Neurospora crassa OR74A: one gene and its partners. The protein of the gene in region 4 interacts with the protein of the main gene of each other region in a pairwise test. Links are inferred from orthologs where the notes say so. Each region holds a gene or a part of one and is shown on either strand. Other genes may lie near its edges.

The links.
Region 1: the proteins of NCU09813 (region 4) and uvs-2 interact in a two-hybrid assay, tested with the Saccharomyces cerevisiae proteins (2 studies listed by BioGRID). The link is inferred for Neurospora crassa OR74A from reciprocal best matches to the Saccharomyces cerevisiae genes SMT3 and RAD18.
Region 2: the proteins of NCU09813 (region 4) and NCU01171 interact in binary tests that used the Saccharomyces cerevisiae proteins (3 or more experiments, as listed by UniProt). The link is inferred for Neurospora crassa OR74A from reciprocal best matches to the Saccharomyces cerevisiae genes SMT3 and MCM5.
Region 3: the proteins of NCU09813 (region 4) and mei-3 interact in a two-hybrid assay, tested with the Saccharomyces cerevisiae proteins (2 studies listed by BioGRID). The link is inferred for Neurospora crassa OR74A from reciprocal best matches to the Saccharomyces cerevisiae genes SMT3 and RAD51.
Region 5: the proteins of NCU09813 (region 4) and NCU02420 interact in a two-hybrid assay, tested with the Saccharomyces cerevisiae proteins (2 studies listed by BioGRID). The link is inferred for Neurospora crassa OR74A from reciprocal best matches to the Saccharomyces cerevisiae genes SMT3 and SAP1.

What each region holds. Positions count from the first base shown.
Region 1 is NC_026504.1:5,740,608-5,744,293, reverse strand, and holds uvs-2 (postreplication repair E3 ubiquitin-protein ligase rad-18), read right to left. Parts: upstream 2,311-3,686; 5' UTR 2,135-2,310; coding exon 1,588-2,134; intron 1,519-1,587; coding exon 560-1,518; 3' UTR 501-559; downstream 1-500. Other genes in the region: NCU05209 (hypothetical protein), read left to right, coding at 1-345; NCU05211 (hypothetical protein), read left to right, coding at 3,120-3,298, 3,351-3,441, 3,532-3,686. UniProt on the Saccharomyces cerevisiae protein: E3 RING-finger protein, member of the UBC2/RAD6 epistasis group. Associates to the E2 ubiquitin conjugating enzyme UBC2/RAD6 to form the UBC2-RAD18 ubiquitin ligase complex involved in postreplicative repair (PRR) of damaged DNA.
Region 2 is NC_026505.1:3,119,120-3,123,341, forward strand, and holds the start of NCU01171 (DNA replication licensing factor mcm5), read right to left. Parts: upstream 2,801-4,222; 5' UTR 2,582-2,800; coding exon 2,436-2,581; intron 2,371-2,435; coding exon 838-2,370; intron 773-837; coding exon 277-772; 3' UTR 1-276. Other genes in the region: NCU01172 (GARP complex component), read left to right, coding at 3,489-3,577, 3,638-4,222. UniProt on the Saccharomyces cerevisiae protein: Acts as a component of the MCM2-7 complex (MCM complex) which is the putative replicative helicase essential for 'once per cell cycle' DNA replication initiation and elongation in eukaryotic cells.
Region 3 is NC_026501.1:3,388,809-3,392,299, forward strand, and holds mei-3 (MEI3), read left to right. Parts: upstream 1-1,307; 5' UTR 1,308-1,525; coding exon 1,526-1,621; intron 1,622-1,682; coding exon 1,683-1,830; intron 1,831-1,902; coding exon 1,903-2,720; 3' UTR 2,721-2,991; downstream 2,992-3,491. Other genes in the region: NCU02740 (hypothetical protein), read left to right, coding at 1-485. UniProt on the Saccharomyces cerevisiae protein: Required both for recombination and for the repair of DNA damage caused by X-rays. Its function may be modulated by interaction with other repair proteins. RAD52 interacts directly with RAD51, via its C-terminus.
Region 4 is NC_026501.1:4,134,519-4,137,681, forward strand, and holds NCU09813 (SMT3, variant 2), read right to left. Parts: upstream 1,918-3,163; 5' UTR 1,731-1,917; exon of another isoform or gene 1,513-1,730; 5' UTR 1,476-1,512; coding exon 1,236-1,475; intron 1,104-1,235; coding exon 1,044-1,103; 3' UTR 501-1,043; downstream 1-500. Other genes in the region: NCU16378 (DUF1903 domain-containing protein), read left to right, coding at 2,686-2,688, 2,784-2,831, 2,912-2,924, 2,995-3,163. UniProt on the Saccharomyces cerevisiae protein: Not known; suppressor of MIF2 mutations.
Region 5 is NC_026507.1:2,554,564-2,558,824, reverse strand, and holds the start of NCU02420 (AAA family ATPase), read right to left. Parts: upstream 2,801-4,261; 5' UTR 2,537-2,800; intron 2,528-2,536; exon of another isoform or gene 2,452-2,527; 5' UTR 2,030-2,451; coding exon 1,937-2,029; intron 1,858-1,936; coding exon 1-1,857. Other genes in the region: NCU02421 (hypothetical protein), read right to left, coding at 3,343-4,261.

The sequences.
Region 1 (3,686 bases), on a different chromosome or scaffold from region 4:
GCAATGCTGATGGACCCTGGGGTGAGATGGCTGTGGTATTTTGGTGTGATGGAGGTGGCGGGGGCTATGTTGGTTGTCAGGAGTGTGGTGCGCGGGGCCGAGTATTTGGGGGGAACGGACGGGGTGGTGGCAAGTCATGAGTGGTTTGTCTATGTGTTTGATGGGGTGCCGATGGGGGTGGTGATGGCGGGGTTTTTGGTCTTGTATCCGGAGAGGGTGGTGAGGGAGGTGAAGCGGCAGGAGGGAATTTTGAAGGGGGCGGGCATGGGAGAGGAGTTGAGAGGCGGGGTGAAGGGGGAGTCGTATCCTGGGGGCGATGTTTACGTTGGGGGTAGGTGTCACTAGGTTCCTGTGGTAAGTAGTCTCTATCACTTTTACCCCCCGTCGACATCCTTCAGCGGACCCGGCCCACAGAAATGTGGGTCTTCTGGGGGTGGGGTGGGTTTTAGTGTAGAGGTTAAGTGGGTCTAGTCCGGATGGACTACAAATGTCATACAGAACACAGGGTAAATTAGTAAAGTAGGAGAAAAGAGTGCCTGTCATAATATATCCATCGGCCTTAACATGTCTCTGGATTTGGCTTCTTCATCCCACTCAGTTGAGCATCCCCAGGTATTGGTGGCTGCTGCTGCTGTGACGTCTCCCACTGCCGTTCCTTGTCTGGAGTCCCGGGAATGACTTGTTCCCTCATGGCGGTATCCTCTGCTATAGCATCCTTTCCAGGAGCTTGCCCGTCGTGTTCTGTATCCGCGTCATCCACCTGCCCCGGTCGTGGTGGACTTGATGGCGGGACAATATCCATCCGTGTTGGCGCTGCACTGCTTTCCCCCTCTCTCGCTTGTAGTGTCGGAAGTTCAGCTGGGCCAACATCCTCACCCCCACCCCCACCCTTGGTATCCGCCTTCTCCCCATTACCATCCAAAGTCTGCCTCTTAATCCCCTGCCGGGCCTGCTTGATCAAATCCCCAAAACTCCCTCCATACCGAGTTGCCCAAGCTTTGCCATCGAACTCCTTGTCCTTGATCTGCGCTCCAGTAGCTTGCGCCCTCGCCATGAGTCCGAGTCCCTGCTGCCCCCCTCCTCCTCCTGCTGCTGTGCCGGGATTCCCTACTGTCCGTTCCCATTCGTCTAGATCGCGAAGTAACTCGGACCGCTTTTTGGGTCGCGAAGAGTCGCAGTTGGCGTTCCAAAGCGTGATCCACTCCTTGTGGCGCTTCTCCAAGAGCTGGCGAGAACCGTGGGTGGAGAGGCCGAGTTCGGAGAGTTTCTTGCGCAGGGCGGTGTCGCGCAGCATGGAGTAGGCTAGGGCGGGGAGGCGTTCGGGTGGTTTTTGGTTGGTTTGAGATGTGAGGCGGGTGTTGAAGGATGGAAAGGTCGATGGCTGTGGTGTTTGAGCGGGGATCGGTCGTCGTTTGGATGCGGCCTGGGGAGAACCGGGACAAGAGGTGTCGAGGTGGCGGTCGACTTGCTGTTCCTTCATGCGGGTGAGGCAGATGGGGCAGGCTACTAGGCCGTCGTCTGGTGGGAGGTCAGTGATGATGATGATGATAGAAGCAACCCACGAGGAGCGGGAGGAGGGAAACGAACCGGGTGGTTGGTCGACGTAATCCGGGTCGGCTGAAGGTGTGGTGTCTTGCTCTTCTTGTAGTATTGCCGCTGTCAACTCGGCGGCTCGGGCTCTTGTTGATCTGGTTGACCTCCTCGGCCTCTTGCTTTCTGGGTCCTCCTCTTTTGGCCCCTCCATTTCGGTCGCCTTTCGTTTTGATGGCGAACTGGGGCCTGCTTGGTCTGGCAGTATCGCCTGAATGGTCGGTGGTGTCCTAGCAAACTCGAGAAGGACTTTGCGGGAGTTCTTGAAGGCTTCTACGGCTTCGCGCAAAGCCCAGTTGCCTCTGAGCTTGGATTCCTGGTCGGTGGCGCGACAGAGCGGGCACTTGCTGTCGACGGACAGACATCTTCGGATGCACAAGGAGCAAAAGGTGTGATTGCAGGATGTGAGCATGGGAGAGTCGTAAAAGTCCTTGCATACGTGACAGCGGAAAGCCTGTTCGACGGGCATCAGGCATGCGAGGGGCGTGCCCAGCCAGTCGGTCGAGTCGGGGACGTTGAAGGCTTCATCGCCAAAGACGTCCATGATAATGTCGGTTGTACTGAAGGGTATCCGAGTACTTTGTTGGTGGTGATGGCTGCCTTCGTTCTACCTGGAAGCCTGGAAGTAGTATTGTAGAAGAGACGGAAGATGTGAGACGCGATGTCTGCAAGTCGGACGAGACTGGTCGCGACTTTGTCGAGGAGGAGAATTCCATTACACTGTATTTACACAAACTGGCCGAGGGTCAGCAAGAATACCGAAGAGTGACCCGGGTATCTAGCACTCGGGATCTTTTCCCTGGGAATTGCTCTTTCAGTTGGTGTTTTTGTTTCAAGTTAAACATGGCTCTCTGAACATCTGCACTGCCATTATTCAACATTTACAGCTCTTTGTGGCCAACCTCTTACTTGCAGACCTTTGATCTCTCCATGACGGTATTGATTGTGCCCACGATACGGTAATGACAGGGCCTGCACGTGAATTGGCGACGGGAAGGCGTGCAGCGGGGGTGTGTTCTGGGGCCTTCAGTTTCCAGGCACAAAAGCGCTGCAACAGTGCAGTGGAAACAGAAGCCCCACCTCTTCGCTCCCCTCAGCCCAGACTATTCCCTTTTGGGCATCAACCAAAACAAAGACTGGAGCGGATTGGGTACTAACAATTGAAACCAAGACAAGGGAATTTGCTCCGGCAACAGGAACTCCATCCCAGGTCAGGTCAGGTCAGGTCTCCGATCCCTCGCTTTTTACTTGGTTTGTTTGACTTTGACTTTCTCTTTGTTGCTTTGACTCGATCGACGCAATCCCGTCATCCCTCCGACAACCACCATTATACCACATCGCCAGCCTCGTCGCCCACCTCCCTCCCTTTCTTTGACCAACTAATCATACCAATGCTTTGAACATCTCACTTGTTGCCATTCCTTTCTTTTCCGATCATTGCTTGGGGGTTTTTTTTTTTTTTAGAGCTTTCCCCACATCCCCAAATCCGGTTTGTTGACTTTTGGCGCCAAAGTAAACAAACAGCAAAAATGGCGATGCGCAAGGCACCACGTCTGCCCGTCGGCTCGGCAGCGTGGGTTGCAGAAGAGCGCGCATCGGCGCTCAAGGTGGCAGAGGAGGAAGTCGAAGAGTTCTCGTATGCGGCGCGCAATGAGATGGACTGGCTGAACGAGCACATGGAGGACATTTTCTTGGGCGAGAACCAAATGTGCGTTGTCTTTGTTTTATTTCCCTCTCTTTGTCTCGCTGACCAGGAACAGGAACATTGCCGAAATCTTCAAAACGCCAGCACGACCACGAGGCAAGACACCGCGGACAATTCGCAAAGGGCCCAATACCGAAGTGAGAGTGGTAAGCATCCAGACAGCGTCCATCATTCTTCTGCGACGGGCGACCAAGAGTGATTGATTGATTGATTGATTTTGTTCTAACCCACAGCAGCCCTTGGCCAGCATCTTCTCAGCGACGCCCAAGGGTGTGACACCTAATCCCTTCGTCCTCGCGCCGCCCGCGAACAACTCGTCATGGACGCCCAAGATCAGGCCCGATACGCCGGAAGCCGACGTCGAAGCTGATGACGAAGCCGATGATGTCCC
Region 2 (4,222 bases), on a different chromosome or scaffold from region 4:
GAGAATACTAAACTGCAGCAAGATCATCGAATGTGTGTCTTCTAGCTGGCCGTTGAAAACTGTGACAGACAAAATATCTACCATGTCAGACCCAAATAAAATTGGAAGAGCCCCCCTTACGCCCATTGCCATGAAACCCCATATTGTACTTGTTAACCTGTACACCCAAAGAAAAATAAAATAGCAGAGCAAGAACGCTTCGGTTTTGCTTTTCTTTTCTCTTTTTTTCGTCGGAACATCTTCGAAAAACACTCCGTCATTTCCCCACCATCCCTTCTACGCGCCATTCCTATAAACCTGCGCGCCCTGGTTCCTAAACATAATGGTATCCCGCCTCTGCAACATCATCAGCGCCCTATTCAGCGCCACCTCGCTAAACCCTTTACCCTCCACCATTTCCCTGCGCAGGGTCGCCAAGCTGGTGCTCCAGCCGATGGGCAAGCGGCGCTTCAGCTCGGCCTCGACGCGGGACGTCTCCTCGTTCAACTCCCGATTGCTGCCCGTGCTGCCACCTTGGTTGACGGCGTCCATGGTCGAGCACAGGAATAGCCGGATGGCCTCGTCCACGTGCTTCTCCGTCGCGACGGGCGAGAGCGTCAGCTTGGCGAGCGACTCGGTGATGCGCACAATGGCTTCGAGCTGGCGGACCGTGATGGGAATCGAGGAGCGCGCGTTGGCTTCAAGCTCTGAGGCGTGCACTTGCTTGCGGATGGCGACGAAGTGCGAGGAGAGCTTCTCGGCGGCTTCCGGAGAGAGGCGCGGGGCGCAGCGGCTGGAGGAGCGACAATGTCAGTTTTTATGTGTCTAAGGTGGTAGATAGGAGCATAAACAACTTACGATCGGCAATAGCTGATGTACCGCCTCATCTTCTCGACCGGGATCTCTGCCTCAATCCGCTCCTCGACACCACGACCACCCATATGGATACCCATAACGTGCTTGGCGATGCGCTCATCACGGCCGCGCTCGTGCTCATCCTTGACGATGAAGATCATGTCGAAACGCGACAAGATGGTGGTCTGAAAGTCGATGTTCTCGCCCGGGGTCTTCATGTCGTCGTAGCGGCCAAAGATGGGGTTAGCGGCGGCCAAGACCGAAGTTCGAGCATTGAGGATCGTGGTGATGCCGGCCTTGGCGATGGAAATGGTTTGTTGCTCCATAGCTTCGTGTATTGCCACTCTGTCCTCATCGCGCATCTTGTCGAACTCATCGATACAGACGACACCGCCGTCAGCGAGAACCATGGCACCGCCTTCGAGGTAGAACTCGCGCGTGGAAGCGTCACGCTGGACGGAAGCCGTCAAACCGGCGGCGGAGGAACCCTTGCCGGAGGTGTAGATGGCGATAGGAGCGACTTTTTCGACGAACTTGAGCAGTTGTGACTTGGCCGTACCGGGATCACCAAGCATGAGGACGTTGATATCACCACGAAGCCTCATGCCATCTGGAAGGATCTTCTTGGAGCCACCCATGAGTAAACAGAGGATAGCCTTTTTGATATCCTTATTTCCATAGATGGACGGCGCGATGCATTCGGCCATGACATTGTAGAGATCTGGACGACGGCTAAGCTCAAGGAACTCCTGCTCTTCCTCCTCGGAAAAGACAGCCAGACCCTTGGCTGTTTGGTCAATGTCTGTCTGGATACCGACTGCGCGGAGATAGGGTGTGCGAATGGCGACGGCGCCGCTTGTGGACTTCTTGTTGCCTCCACTTTGGTATATAGAAAAAATACCCATGACGGTACACCTTGAGCCGGGCACCACGCGGTTCGTGAGGTAGCGGTCGGCGGAAATCAGGACATGGCGGGGCAGTTCACCGACGGGAACTTGGTCTGGAGCTTCCTGAAGCTTGATAATTTGCTGATCGACGAATCTGGACTTTTCATGTTGTACAAAGTAGGGATCCATTGGGCACTTCTCGCCAGGGTCCCCAGGTGCCCTGATTCTGCCACATGTCCTGGGAAGGGTAGCGCCACTGAAGCCGCCGGATACGTGAACGTGTTGGACGTGGCCGCAGTTGCGGCACTGGACGTGGAGCTCAGTCGCCTTGGACGACATTACCGAGGCACCAATGACGATACCAGGTACCCGGACCAGCCGGGAGATTGTAAGGGAGTCGAGGTTACGGATAGAAACATCTTCGGCGTTGGAGTGTAGAAGCAGTTGGTGGTCGGGCAGGTCTATCTTGGGTTCGTTTGGGAAGACGATTCGGTGTGTGCAGCGCTTCAGAGCGGCCTCGAACAGAGGGATAATCTCGGCGGGTTCGGTGACTAGTCTATGGGCAATTTCTTCATTGAATTTGATCAAGTCGCCAATGTTGACATCGCAGTAGTATTTCTTTAGAAGGGCATTTTCTCGTAGTTGGTCTCTGGAAGGAGTAATGTTAACAGGAAGCTCGACAGAGGACAGGAGTATGCTACACAGAGTACGAACCTGTAGATAAAGCTGTTATCTAGTCGGAAGTCGAGAATGAAAGCCTCGAGCTGGGCGCGAATGTGCTGGTTGCTGTCCTCCTCTGGTACATATGAAGAAGCAGCGCCGGCGTAGGTCCGGGCTGAGAAGACGGACTGATAATCCATAGCTGACGGTGGCTTGGTATGTGATTGTTTTGTTTACTCGCGTGCACTGGCCGTAGATGTTCGCACCGGGAGAATTGTAGAAAATAGCAGAGAAGGGAGGGGTTGTTGGGGGCAGAAAGACAACTAACAGAGGGAGAATCCAAAATGGCAAAACATGTGCGAAAACCGCGACGCGAGAAACATTGATACTGCACACCCAAGACGCGATTTTTGGCAGGGGTTTTAATGGGCACCCCACTTGTAGCTGAATGGCAGGTACCTGACGGCTCAGCAGGCAGGCCCCCTGAAGTGCGGAGGAAAAGGAGTGCTTAAAAGGATATCCAGCTAGGGGGGGTTCACCCTCCAGACACTTTTGCAGCAACCGGTGCAAGACCCAGCTTTGTGGCCCGCTCAAATACATACCACAGTATACTTACTGCGTAGGTAATCATCAGTGGCGGGCGGAGCTTCATTCAACTGCGCTACGTATCCCGAACAAGGGTCCTGTGGGATCCAATGCCCGCTGCGTGGCTTCCGCTGTGAATTGGGGGGACCTTGACATTCGACAGGCAGCTCCGAGTCCCTGACCTCAACACCTGCTCGCGTCGAGACTACAGCTTTGCGCCTCTTCTTGGCCATCTTCTGTGGAAAATACAATCTGGTTCTTGTCTTGTTCTCGTTTCGCTATGATACCCCCGTGACCCTTCGCAGTAACCGCCCATACTCTGGACCACGATAGCCTCAACGCCACCTACCTTGGTTGCTTCCCTTGGCCTGCCGGCCCGCGCCTACAGCTCGATAGACTAATACCGATTACCGAACCCCCTCCCCATCTTCCCACGTCGCCAATCCACCGGCGCATGACCAACGGCCATTTCGTCTTCCCCTGAGCTTAGGCCTAGGACTTCCGGGAGACTTATGAGCCATCATGTTCTCCAACCAGGGTGCTCGCAAGTCGGTCGATAGTCTTTCGCCAATACCCGATGCCGGGCGGTTTGGCGACTTTCCTTTCCACGGGTGCGATGCGCTTTGTCTGTCCATGCCCTTTCCGTAATATACACTAACATCTCCTTGAAGGAGAGGCTCACGCAGTCCGAGCCGCCCGTTCCATTCTCGACGGGATTCGACGGCGGGCTCCATACACTCCATCGGTGGCTCTCTCGACAGTTCCACTGGTACCTGGGGTGACGCCGTCCTAGAGTCCGGTCAGAACGCCATCTCAACCCTGCTCCAACCGCCCATAGTCCGAACCGGCCTCCTTCCCCATACCTCAGCACCCGCTTCCACTGCGCATAAGCCTCCGACTGCTCGAGACATTCCACCTGTCACGCTCACCAATGTCCCTCGCATTGACAATTCCGAATTCACACAATATCTCACCCAAGTCGGCGCGTTATACGAACAATTACGACGGGTTCAGGCAGACGAAGAAGAGGCATCTGGTACTCACAGCAGACGAGGTAGCAAGGCGGACGCAACCTCAGCCGAGGATGGCCACCTACGACCGGGCAAACGATCTGGCGCATCCAGGAGGGCATCCAGCTCATCCATTACGTCCATATCATCGATAGAAGCCCCGGGTCCCGCTCGACGCAGCTCAAGCTACAGGAAAGCGGCATCGCAAGGTCCTCCACCATTATCCACCATTCCCGTGGTATACTT
Region 3 (3,491 bases), about 750 kb from region 4:
TGGAGAGTGCCTCATCAGGGGCAATCCCCCCACCCATCCCACGAGACCAGAGGCATGATTACCCTCGTCGCCACGGCTTGCGGGTTCCCCATGCTTTGAACGAAGATACCCTCCGCAGACTCGAAGGCCAAGACGGAGGAGCACAGCCGCCACAAAGACCAGCAGTCCATGACATCTATGTGCCGACCAGAAACTCCCAACGACAACAAGAGGCCCGGGATGGGCACATTGGTGGTCCTACCAGGCGAGACCAGCAAATCACTGATTCTAAATCAGGCGACTCCTACGCTGATTCTGCCCATCAGCGGTTACCGAGAAGCGACAGTGGAAGATCCTATAACTCATCCAGCGGCGGCGAAGGAGGGGAAAGACTGTATGAGCCAAGAGGAGCTGAAAGAAGAGATGTCGCCGTCGGTGATCCCTTTGGCACTCCCTCCTTGCAGGTGATATATCAGCAGCACAGCAGGAGGATACGAAGCCCATGATAATCACTGCCCCTGAGCCGACCTTGGGGCCTAGGAATTTGCATTTTACACCTAACAACAGATCTGCTGCTCGGAGAGTCGATGACGGGTTTTGACATCCTACCTGTGGGAAGGCTTGGAACACCGGGTATAGAGCCCAGGATAAACCATGACGCATCTTAACAGTCCGCAAGGGGGGGGAGGGAAGATGGTGAGGTAATTAGCCAGGGTAGTCGTGTGTCTGGGTATGGATGGAGGTAGTGAGTGAGGAGCATACATCGGCCTCTCCAAAAGTTGCATTGTTGGGCCATTCTTGCGGTTTTCTTTTGTGGGTGTTCCCTGAGATTTGTTCAAATGGGACACAGGCGGCAGACGTCGTTAAATGACTGTGATACTTGGTCCTAGAAACCGAGGTGGCAAAAACTCGGAAGAGGCGGCCGCGTCGAGAACCTAATGAGCAAGAGTTGTTGTCTCCTCTTTGGATAGGGTGTTCTCGGACAGAGGGCAGTAGGAATAAAATAGCATGAAAACTGTATCTCTGTATCGGTGTACGCCGTAAATACGAAGACGCCTGTGACAATGTTGACGGGGAGTACCATAGTGTTTGTGGTGTACGGAATTGGCATGAAGTGACAAACCCCCAGGGGTGACCGTTCGGTTCGTTGTAGCGGACCCCACAGGGGAACCATCCTGTCGCCTCCGTCATTCCCGTCTGGGCTCCACTGAATCTAGGCATCCGGCGGGGCCAATGGTGTCTAGTAGGTACCTTATTAGTATCCCGCATGCTGGGCTGGATTGGTCATCCAGGTCACATGTTAACGTGTCGCACTTCCCCAATTTGTAGGACGCGGGTCGCGCTCTTGCCTGCTGTTTTCGCCTCTGTCAACATTTGCGTATCCTTGGCTCCAGTCCCGCTCGCTTTTTTTTCTTCTTGCGCCTTTCTGTCTTGCTTTTCTGTGGCCATATCCAAGACGTTTTCGCTCGCTGCTGGTCATACATACCATCACTAAACGTAAAGAAACCCCGAAATTGTTGCACCGAAGAGCACAACAAATAGCACGATGTCGAACAACGAGGAGTACGATGAGTCTGCCAACATGGAGGACGACAGCGGGATACCAAACCCAGGCGCCCCAACACCACTTTCTGCTCTAGAGGTACGGATCACTTTCTTTGATGGATCCATCCGGATTGCAAACAACCAACTGACTTGCCTAGGGTGTTGCCGGACTTACCAAGCGAGACATTCAGCTGATTGTTGATGGAGGCTTCAACACCGTTGAATCTGTTGCCTATACCCCCCGGAGGGTACTGGAGCAGATCAAAGGTATTTCGGAGCAAAAGGCAGGGAAAATCCTGGCAGAAGGTCAGTAGCCAGCATTTGACATTCCTAGAGGTTCCATTTTGGGAGTGCATGATTACTGACACTATCATCAAGCCTCTAAACTTGTGCCTATGGGTTTTACTACTGCGACGGAGATGCACCAGCGCCGCAGCGAACTGATTTCCATCACGACAGGCTCCAAAAATCTGGATACACTATTGGCTGGTGGTATCGAGACCGGCAGTGTCACCGAAATCTTTGGAGAGTTCAGAACAGGAAAGTCGCAGATCTGCCATACTCTTGCGGTAACATGCCAGCTCCCATTTGACATGGGGGGTGGTGAGGGAAAATGTCTCTACATCGACACTGAAGGTACCTTCCGGCCTGTGCGTCTCCTAGCAGTGGCCAACCGATACGGTCTCTCAGGCGAAGAAGTTCTTGACAACGTTGCGTACGCAAGAGCCTACAATTCGGACCATCAGCTGCAGCTCTTGAACCAGGCCGCAGCCATGATGTGCGAGACCCGCTTCAGTCTGTTGATTGTCGACTCCGCGACCTCGCTCTACAGAACGGACTTCTTGGGTCGTGGCGAACTCAGTTCCCGCCAAACCCATCTCGCAAAGTTTATGCGCACACTCCAGCGCCTTGCCGACGAGTTTGGTATTGCGGTGGTGATCACCAATCAGGTCGTGGCGCAGGTTGATGGTGGTCCGTCTGCCATGTTTAATCCAGACCCCAAAAAACCAATTGGTGGCAACATCATTGCGCACGCCAGTACTACTCGCATCAGCCTGAAGAAGGGTCGCGGAGAGACCAGAATCGCAAAGATCTACGACAGCCCATGTTTACCAGAGAGCGACTGCTTGTTTGCCATCAACGAGGACGGCATTGGTGATCCTAGCCCGAAGGATATGGAGAAGATGAATCAGTAGTTTGCAGTGGGGATGGCGACAGCAAATCAACACGAAATTCATACAACAATCTAGGGACGCAAGGGGCTGCTGATTTGACGGTATAAGGATAATGTGTGTTTTTGATGGGCATAGCGCGTTTTTATTGTTAGCATGGGAGGGCAGCCTGGCGTCACACTTGTCTGGTATGACTGGTAAAACTTGGGAGTTGGTAGAGTTATCAATAACTACGGTACACTGTTTTTTTTTTCTAATACAATCGACGAAGTGAAGCCGTCAAAGTCATCTCGCCAACTGATCATTTGACCTGTGCAGAAGCAGCGTCTCGATGCTGAGGGCAAGTGTCACAGGTTTGATCATCCAAAGACCTCACCACCGAAGCTGAAGCTCTCGTTAACGTGAAGGAAATTTCATTGAAATCCAAGTTGCTGTCGTCCATACTCGTGATGCAACAGGCCATGCACCACATAATCTTCGAGGGAATGTGTCAGGACAAAAGGTACGCTCTGTGACTTGAAGTTACAGATTAAGGGCTATCATCCATCTAGCGTTGTTAATAAAATCGCGGATTTCAAAGGCTATTGCTTCCTTCTTGATGTGACGTACCACCTTGCAGTGTGTCCTATTCGCATAGTCTCTCACTAGCGCGGGATACTTGGGCTTAGCACCGAGTTTCCCCACCAACCACGCCAGCGATTGACTGACCCGCTGCAACTGCTACCGACGCTTGCAGCGTTGCGCTGTGCTTGGGAACTTGAACAGTTGAACTTCTGCTGCAGTGGGCGGCCAGAA
Region 4 (3,163 bases):
AAAGCATTGTAAGGGTGTTTTTTTTTTTCTTCCTTTTTTTTTTCTTCTGCATAGCATTGGAATCAGGATGTTCAAGTTGCTCTACATTTTCTTTTACTCAATAGTGTTTAGGGGTTCATATGTACGAGTATCGAGATACAAACAATATTATAATAATAACACATCAACACACGAAACTAGGATGTCATGGTGTGGTTATTCGGGGTTGCCTTGGACTTGTCAGCGTAGCCTACCTGATAGGCATTATGGACGTCATGGTTAAATCAGCCTTGGAAGATAAGCAAGGAGTTGACGATATCCCACAGCGCTCGGGAACGACGATCGAAGCTGGGCAAATTGGAGATGATGGTAGAGGAGAGTAAAGGCTCTGTCTACGAATATGTCACTGCAACGGGTTCACTGGCTGAGCGGGGACAGATACAACAATGTGAGTCCTTGAATTCCTAGGATAATAAACACTCGACAGCGCTCGAGAATGTGCATGGCATCATAAACGAGCACTCGCAGTATTGTTACAACATCTGGGACTGGAAAAAAGGGGGGAAGAAAGGGGGCAGAAGGCCATTTGGAAAGATGCCGTGTTTACGCTTCAAACAGAAGATAAGATGCCGGCAAAGCCAGTTGGCGTCCCGTCAAAGTATGGTATAAATAGAATCAAATCAATGTTCCTCGATACCCCTCCGCCCTATGACCCCAATGATAGCACCCTCCGAACTCCGGTTCTCCTAGGCATCACCTATGCGGCGAATAGGAACAAAAGTAGAAAAAGTGCGTGCGTCCAGTGACAATGGCAAAAGCTGTGATGTTCTCCGTAACCCCGTGTCCAATCCTGCTGTCACATTCCGAAACTCCCACCCAGTCCCTGTCCTGTTATAGAATCGGATACCACTCGCGAGCTATCTTCTGGTGATCAAGTCGCCGGTTGTCGTTCCGCTTGCTACTATGCATATGGCCGGTTGTAATTTTGTCTTTTTTGTATTTTTTTTTGTTGCCTTTTTCTTTCTCCCATCTCCTTGTAGTTGTAGTATAGGATCGCCTTTTATCTACCAGCCGCCGACCTGCTCTTGGTGAACTTCCAGGCAATCACCGTCCTGCATCTCGAGCTATATTATGGTAGCAATGGACCTGGTTAGCAAACATATTTCTGGCGTGCTCGGGTGCTTCGTCTACCATGGTGTTCCCGGGCTAGCAGCAACATCAACACAGATGTTAGGTGCATGCCAGACTTCACTTACAGTGTCCGGGGTGTCCGTGGGCTGTACGCGCTGACCCTCGAAGAGGAACCTAACCGAAGCCAGCGTCTTGCCCTGACGCTCGCAGAACGCCGTCATGAGCTTCTCGAGCTTGGTGCTGCGCTTGATCTTGAAAAAGACCTCGTTGTTGTTATCCGTCACCTTGATATTAAGGTGCTCGACGGCGGGGGCGGCGGCATCGGAGCCAGCGTTTCCACTTCCGTTCTCAGCGTTGTCCGCCATGTTGATGACTTGGGAGTTGGAGATGCTAGGCAGAAGTCTAGTCGCAAAGAAATTTCGTCAATGAAAACTGGAAGGGCCGAGTTTGAAGTGTCGATGTTCGGAAATGCTAGAGTTCCAGGCTGCGATGGAAGTCAGAAATTGCGCGCGTGTCAACGCGCCGGAGAGTCTCGTCCTGCCTGTGTTGTCGCACAACGAGATGGAGCAGAAATTGGTGGAGGAACAGCAAAATTCGAGAGGAGAAGCGGATTGTCTTACTGCAGTAGATAGGCGTATTGAAAGACGCTGTGGCAGACTTCTGGTCTTGGGAAGCGTCGAGTCAAGTAGGTCCGTGAGAATTTAGAGAAGTGGAAGGCGAGGTGCACCGGGTCAAGTCGTGCTTTTGAGGTGGAAGCGTGGTTGCGGCGAATGCAGTAAACGACGGCTGGAGGGCGGTTTGTAAGACTGCAGCAGACGCAAAGTTCAGGTGGGGCCAGCCTTGAAACACCAATATTTGTACGAAACCTTGATGCCTCCTCTCAACCTGGCCAACTTTTGTGGTAAGTTGCGCTCCTTAAGGCTCTACTGAAATGCGACACATGCGTATAATACCCGTACCTGGTCCAAAAGGTGAACATGAGACGAAAGGGCCGAGGAAGGCCAATTCGTGAAGGTGTTCATACACCGAATTGCAAGCCCACAGAACTAGGTGCCCAAGTATTTCACTGTCCGCCACTTGGCACTACTTCTAGGTCAACCATTCGAATACCAATCTTTCGCTCATCTTTGCAGACCACCCGACCTTGCGTCGCACAAGCCCTATAGTAATGAACAGTTCCTTGTAGTCCTAGTCCGCGGTTAACTGCCTGTTCCAGCGTTAGGTTGTAGTGAGGCTGGTAGAAGAATGGTACAGATAGGTTGACGCAGTGGTGGTCACCGATAAGTGTTTTCGATCCGGAGAGTTCCTGACATCATCCACCCGTTTTCCTTTACTGATAGGCGCGGCAACTGGACTGGAGAATGGGGTACCGAAGCACCGGGATTGTTTAGGTTGTGGGGATTCCAAACTTGCAGGAGGGAGATCCTCGAGCGTAGAGTCCCACTCGAAGCTCTGGCTTTTACCTTCCATTTAATGAACACCTGAGCAAAGGGTACGTCTAACTGCCAGTTCTTGACTTCTTCGCGATCCAGCTTCCAACCAGACGGAGTTCTCGACCGTTCAAATTTCGATACCATGGTGGGTTTAGGCGCAGTACCAGCTTCAGGTCTCCCCTTACAGAATGTCTCGGCTCTCCCCTGAGGCACTGCTGACCGTTCATGTTGCTTTGTTAGACATTGCAAGACGACCTCGCAGCCAGTCCGCCATGCCATCCACGCGCGGTTTGTTCCATGTTTCCCTTGTTCTTTTGTTACGGCTTGCACGCGTGGTGTGCTGACATGCGGTTCTTTCGTGCCTGCAGTGCGCGATACAAAGTGAGGATGACCAGCTTGACTCCTGTGTCGTTCAGAACTCGCAGTTTGCTGACCTCACTTCACGCCGCAGATTGCCTGACCAGAAACGGATTTGATGAGAGCAAATGCCAGAAACAGATAGACGCACTCTACGAGTGTTGCAACGCGTTTTACGAAAAGAACAGCGAAAGCGCGTCAACAGTTAGCTGCCCCAAAGCGAGCCTGCTACGGCTCAAGATGGAACAGAGAAAGAAGGCTAC
Region 5 (4,261 bases), on a different chromosome or scaffold from region 4:
GCCGAGGTACTTACTTGTCAGACTACTAGCAGAGATGGAGAAGAAGGTAGATTTGGACTCCGTGGCCACTGCGCGCGCCAACATAGTCTTTCCTGTTCCCGGTGGCCCAAAAAGCAGCATGCCTCTGGCCGGCTCGCGAAGACCCCTAAATAGGTCCGGTCGGAGAAAAGGATAAACTACGGTCTCCCGAAGTGCATTTTTGGCTACCTCGAGGCCGGCTATGTCATTCCAGTGAACTTCATCACCCTGAACGACGATTTCGTTTAGAATCTGTTTTGCAGCATGTTCATCAACCCCTGGAGGAAGACGGCGCAATATCTTTGCCTTTTGCTTGTTCCACTTGGCAGCTTCTGACCTTTGTTGAGCCGCCCCATCGTTGCCTTCAGATTCTTGACTTTCGGAGTTGTGGGCCGGTGTATCGGCAACCAGGGAAACATCCCTCTGCTTCAGTATCTGTCTTAGGTGCTGTCTTGTTGTCGGCCGTCGGGGAGTTCCATATTCAGAATCCTCAGAACTTGACGAAATTGGGACTTGTTCAAGCTTTTTGCCCCTTGCCTTAGCGCTCATCCGAGGTGTATCAACATCCTGTGTCGTTGCCGATCTGCCCGACGCAGGCCTTGCCGTGCTTGTTAGGTAAGAAGTTCGGCTGATGGGCTTCCGTTGGGCCAGCGTTGGATCGGACATCTTTCTGTTCGATTTTCTGGTCGTTGTTGCGCTTCCTTTCGCAGAGTATGCAGTGTCTTCCTCATCTGTGTTCCCCGTCGCAGGCAGAGGCCTCCTCCTTGGTGTCTGTAGCGGAGCTGTTCTTAGCCGAAGTCCTTCCCCCCCTTCCAACGGCGAGCGCTCGTTGTTATCCCTCAAAGTCAATGCGTTGAGTGCACTTGATGCGGCAGCAGCGCTGATGGTGAAGGAGGATTGGCGAGTGTGTGTATGCTCATCAGAACGGCGGGGTGCCGATGATTCCGGAGTAGGCCGTGCATGAGGCGGTTTGGATTGGCTCCGAGGACGACCCATGACCAGTCGCCTGGTATGCGTGTCCCATTGCTGCTGCCGGCCTGCCAACGCTGGACTTTGACGTCGCCTTTCCACTAAGTAGGGAGAGGTTGCGGGCGGTACCGAACTCGTCTGATCAGTGGTGCCAATTCCCCCACTATTACCGCTGGCACTCCCTGACGGACTCGATCTTTCTCTTTTCCCAAGATAGCTCCAGGCAAGCGAGGCTGCCTTACTGGCACCAGGGCGTTCTGAAACCGAGGTTGGAGGTGTCTGGCGATGGCTAGTTCTCTTGTCTCCCAAACGTCCGGTCCGCAGGGTTGTGCGCATGGTATGCTTCTCGGGGCTGCGTGTCCCTGACGATGTTCCCTCCTCGAGCGAAGGCCTTGACGCCGACGGTGGTGACGGTAACACTGGTCGTGTGCATGCAAAGGGAAACTCCCCGCCTGGCGTACGCACCTCGGCAGAAGGCCCAGGTGTAGGCATGGTATGTTCTGAGATGGACCTAGACCCTACAAAGGGTCGCTTGGCGGGAGTTGGTCGGGAAAGGTCTGTATAGGTTACGGCTGGGATTGTTCCGTCACCTATCCAGCCCTTGGGGGGTTCTAAAAGGTTCGGCAACGGTGACAAACGTGACGCGGATGGTGTAGCGTCATGCTCGAGAGATTCGAGGCGCGAAAGACGCAGGGCCTCTAGAAGATCAATTCGTTCCTTGCACTGTACCTCGAGTTGCCGAAGACTGTCCACCAGCGCCTTCTCCGTCTCGGAACGTGGGGTGAAGGCTGGCAAGATTTTGTTTGCTTGCTGGTCATAGATTTGCTCGAGTGCCTGTTTCCAGCATCGCATAGCCTCATCCTCATTGCCCTAGATGACCGCGCAAGATTAGCACTTGGTTACTGACAGATGGGAGAAAAGGGTGACGATCACAGAACGTCATACTGACCTGGCCTTCGTAATAGACAGCAGTGGAGCATGTCAGGTAGCTTTCATCATATGTCTTTTGCAAAACTGAAGCGGCTGATCTGTTGCGCAGCATCGTAAGAAGTAAGACGTATACACATCACGGAATGTCTGTGTGCACTTTTCAAAAGGGCGTAGCGGACTTTCGCTCTCCAAGGGCGGCCTAGGTAGACGGGAGTGTCCGGTCAAGAACAGGATCTCAGCAGATGCTGTGGATCGGCCTGTACCCTACAGCTCTACGCGCACAGACGGCATCGCCGTTGCGAAGGATGTTGGAAAATCGGGCGGTCGCAAAACGTCCCGAAGGCAGTTGCCGAATGGAAGAACAGGTCTAACGAAGGGCCCCCAAGGAAGGCTCAGGTCCACGTTTCTTGAGGCGTAGAGGTACCAGCGCGCTTCTGTAGGCCAACCGGAATCCGGAGAGGAGACGTATTGGCGGTGCAACGGGACGTTGACGCAATCAATGTGCGTGGTTGATTCGCGACCAAGACGTGCCAACTAATTGAGTGTCTTGAGGTTAGTATCAAGGTTTTGTATACCAGGTAGGTATCCAGGATCTAAGCTTGCACACCAGTAGACCTACATATAGGATCGATGGTATCTTTGTTTAAGTGTAGTTATCGATGTTGCCTTATGAACGTTGTTGCAACCGCCTGAATGGGACCTACTAGCTCCCTAGCTGAAGACGTAGTGGGGCAATTGGGGCGGGAAGGCGGGGACCTGGCAGCCCGACAGTGGCAGGTACCCAGACCAGGCCTTTCTCGCCTTTTTCGTCTGTTTGTCTGCCTTGGCCCGTTCCACCTGTTTGTTACCTTTTGGCCTCTGGATAGTAACGAACAGGCCCAACCTGAGGGGGAGGCCGATAGCACGACTTGTATCGTTCATCTGAGCTTCCATCGGGACCATCAGCATCCCGTCAGGCGCGGCCCGAAAATGACGTTGATATGCGATATGTACCTATTCTTGGGCATCGGAAATCGGGACGGCCGAATGGGATGCCCCGCACCGCCCAATAGGTATTCAGCAGCTTCCAGATCCTCCTCGTCCGCGGCTCCGCGCTTGAGGGGACTCACAGGGCTGTCGGGATTCAAGCTCAGTCTCATCGCATGCAAGAGTGCTGTCAGTCTTGTATTTCCCTGTAAAGGTACCCAAGTTTGTCACTACTTGAGGGCCGTTTTTCAGTCATACGCCGACGACCACACCAGTGTACACGTACACACTCGACCGGGGTTCTCGGCTCCCGCTACTTCCCAAGGTTTACCTTACCCAGCAGTCCACTATGGTGAGATTTATATGAGATTGAAACTATTTTGACGAGAACATGGCAGACCTGGGTCCCGTCAGTAAAAACCATAGCTGGCTTCTCCTGCCTTCGCCGTTTCGCTCACGCTACGACAATAGCACGCGGATCTCGCTCGATGTCCTTGGGAACAGCGCCCGAAAACTTTGGGAATGTTCTTCGTCGCCGTCCTCCTCAACTCTCCTTTGCTCCTCCAATTCGTCAGCCGACAGCAACATCTCCTCCACATGTTCAAAATCCACGCAGAATCTTTCGGCTGCCTCCTCAATCACACTGCTCGCCAGCTTGGAATCCTGCAGATTCTTGAGCTTTTCCGTTGCATCAATCAGCGCCGATGGCAAGAAATCGTCCAGCTTCTGACTTGACTGTCGCAGTGCTTCAGGTTGAACCTCCTCTAGTGTCGCAACCTTTCCAACATCATCCTTCTTCCGTATGTCTAGCCCATCCAGCGCTTCAATGAGGGAATCTAAACCGGACTCGGCCCTAAACAGCTCGTACTGTGCAATAACCAACCGAGCCTTTTCCTCCTCAATTTTGGTCTGTATATCTGCAGCATATTTGCGAACAAAAGTGAAGCCGGAGAGCGTTGTCCGCGCAGCCACGAAGCAGTTGATCAGGAAGATGGATTTGGACGGCGGGGTGGCATGGTTGGCCATATTGATGCAGCCAGCCATGAATGGGTCGAATGCCTCAGCCATGATGGACGCGAACTCTGCTTCTGGATCATCACCCGATGAGCTTAGTGACGTTTCGTACGTTTTCATGATTGCCGATAGCTGTTCCAACGCATCCGTAAGGAAGTCGGGAGGCCGAAGGTCTGGTGGAGTGTGCTGGAACTCAGTTTGGAGAGTGGCGACGTGGTCCCGAGCCAGAGATCGGAATTGGCGCAATGCTTCCGTTTCGAGGGTACCCATCGCTTCAACGAGAATCGACGCCGGGCCCACCAACCTGGAGAAGGTGCTCTTATAAAAGTTGATGAGGTTCGCAAGTTTGAAGGCCAGAATGGTC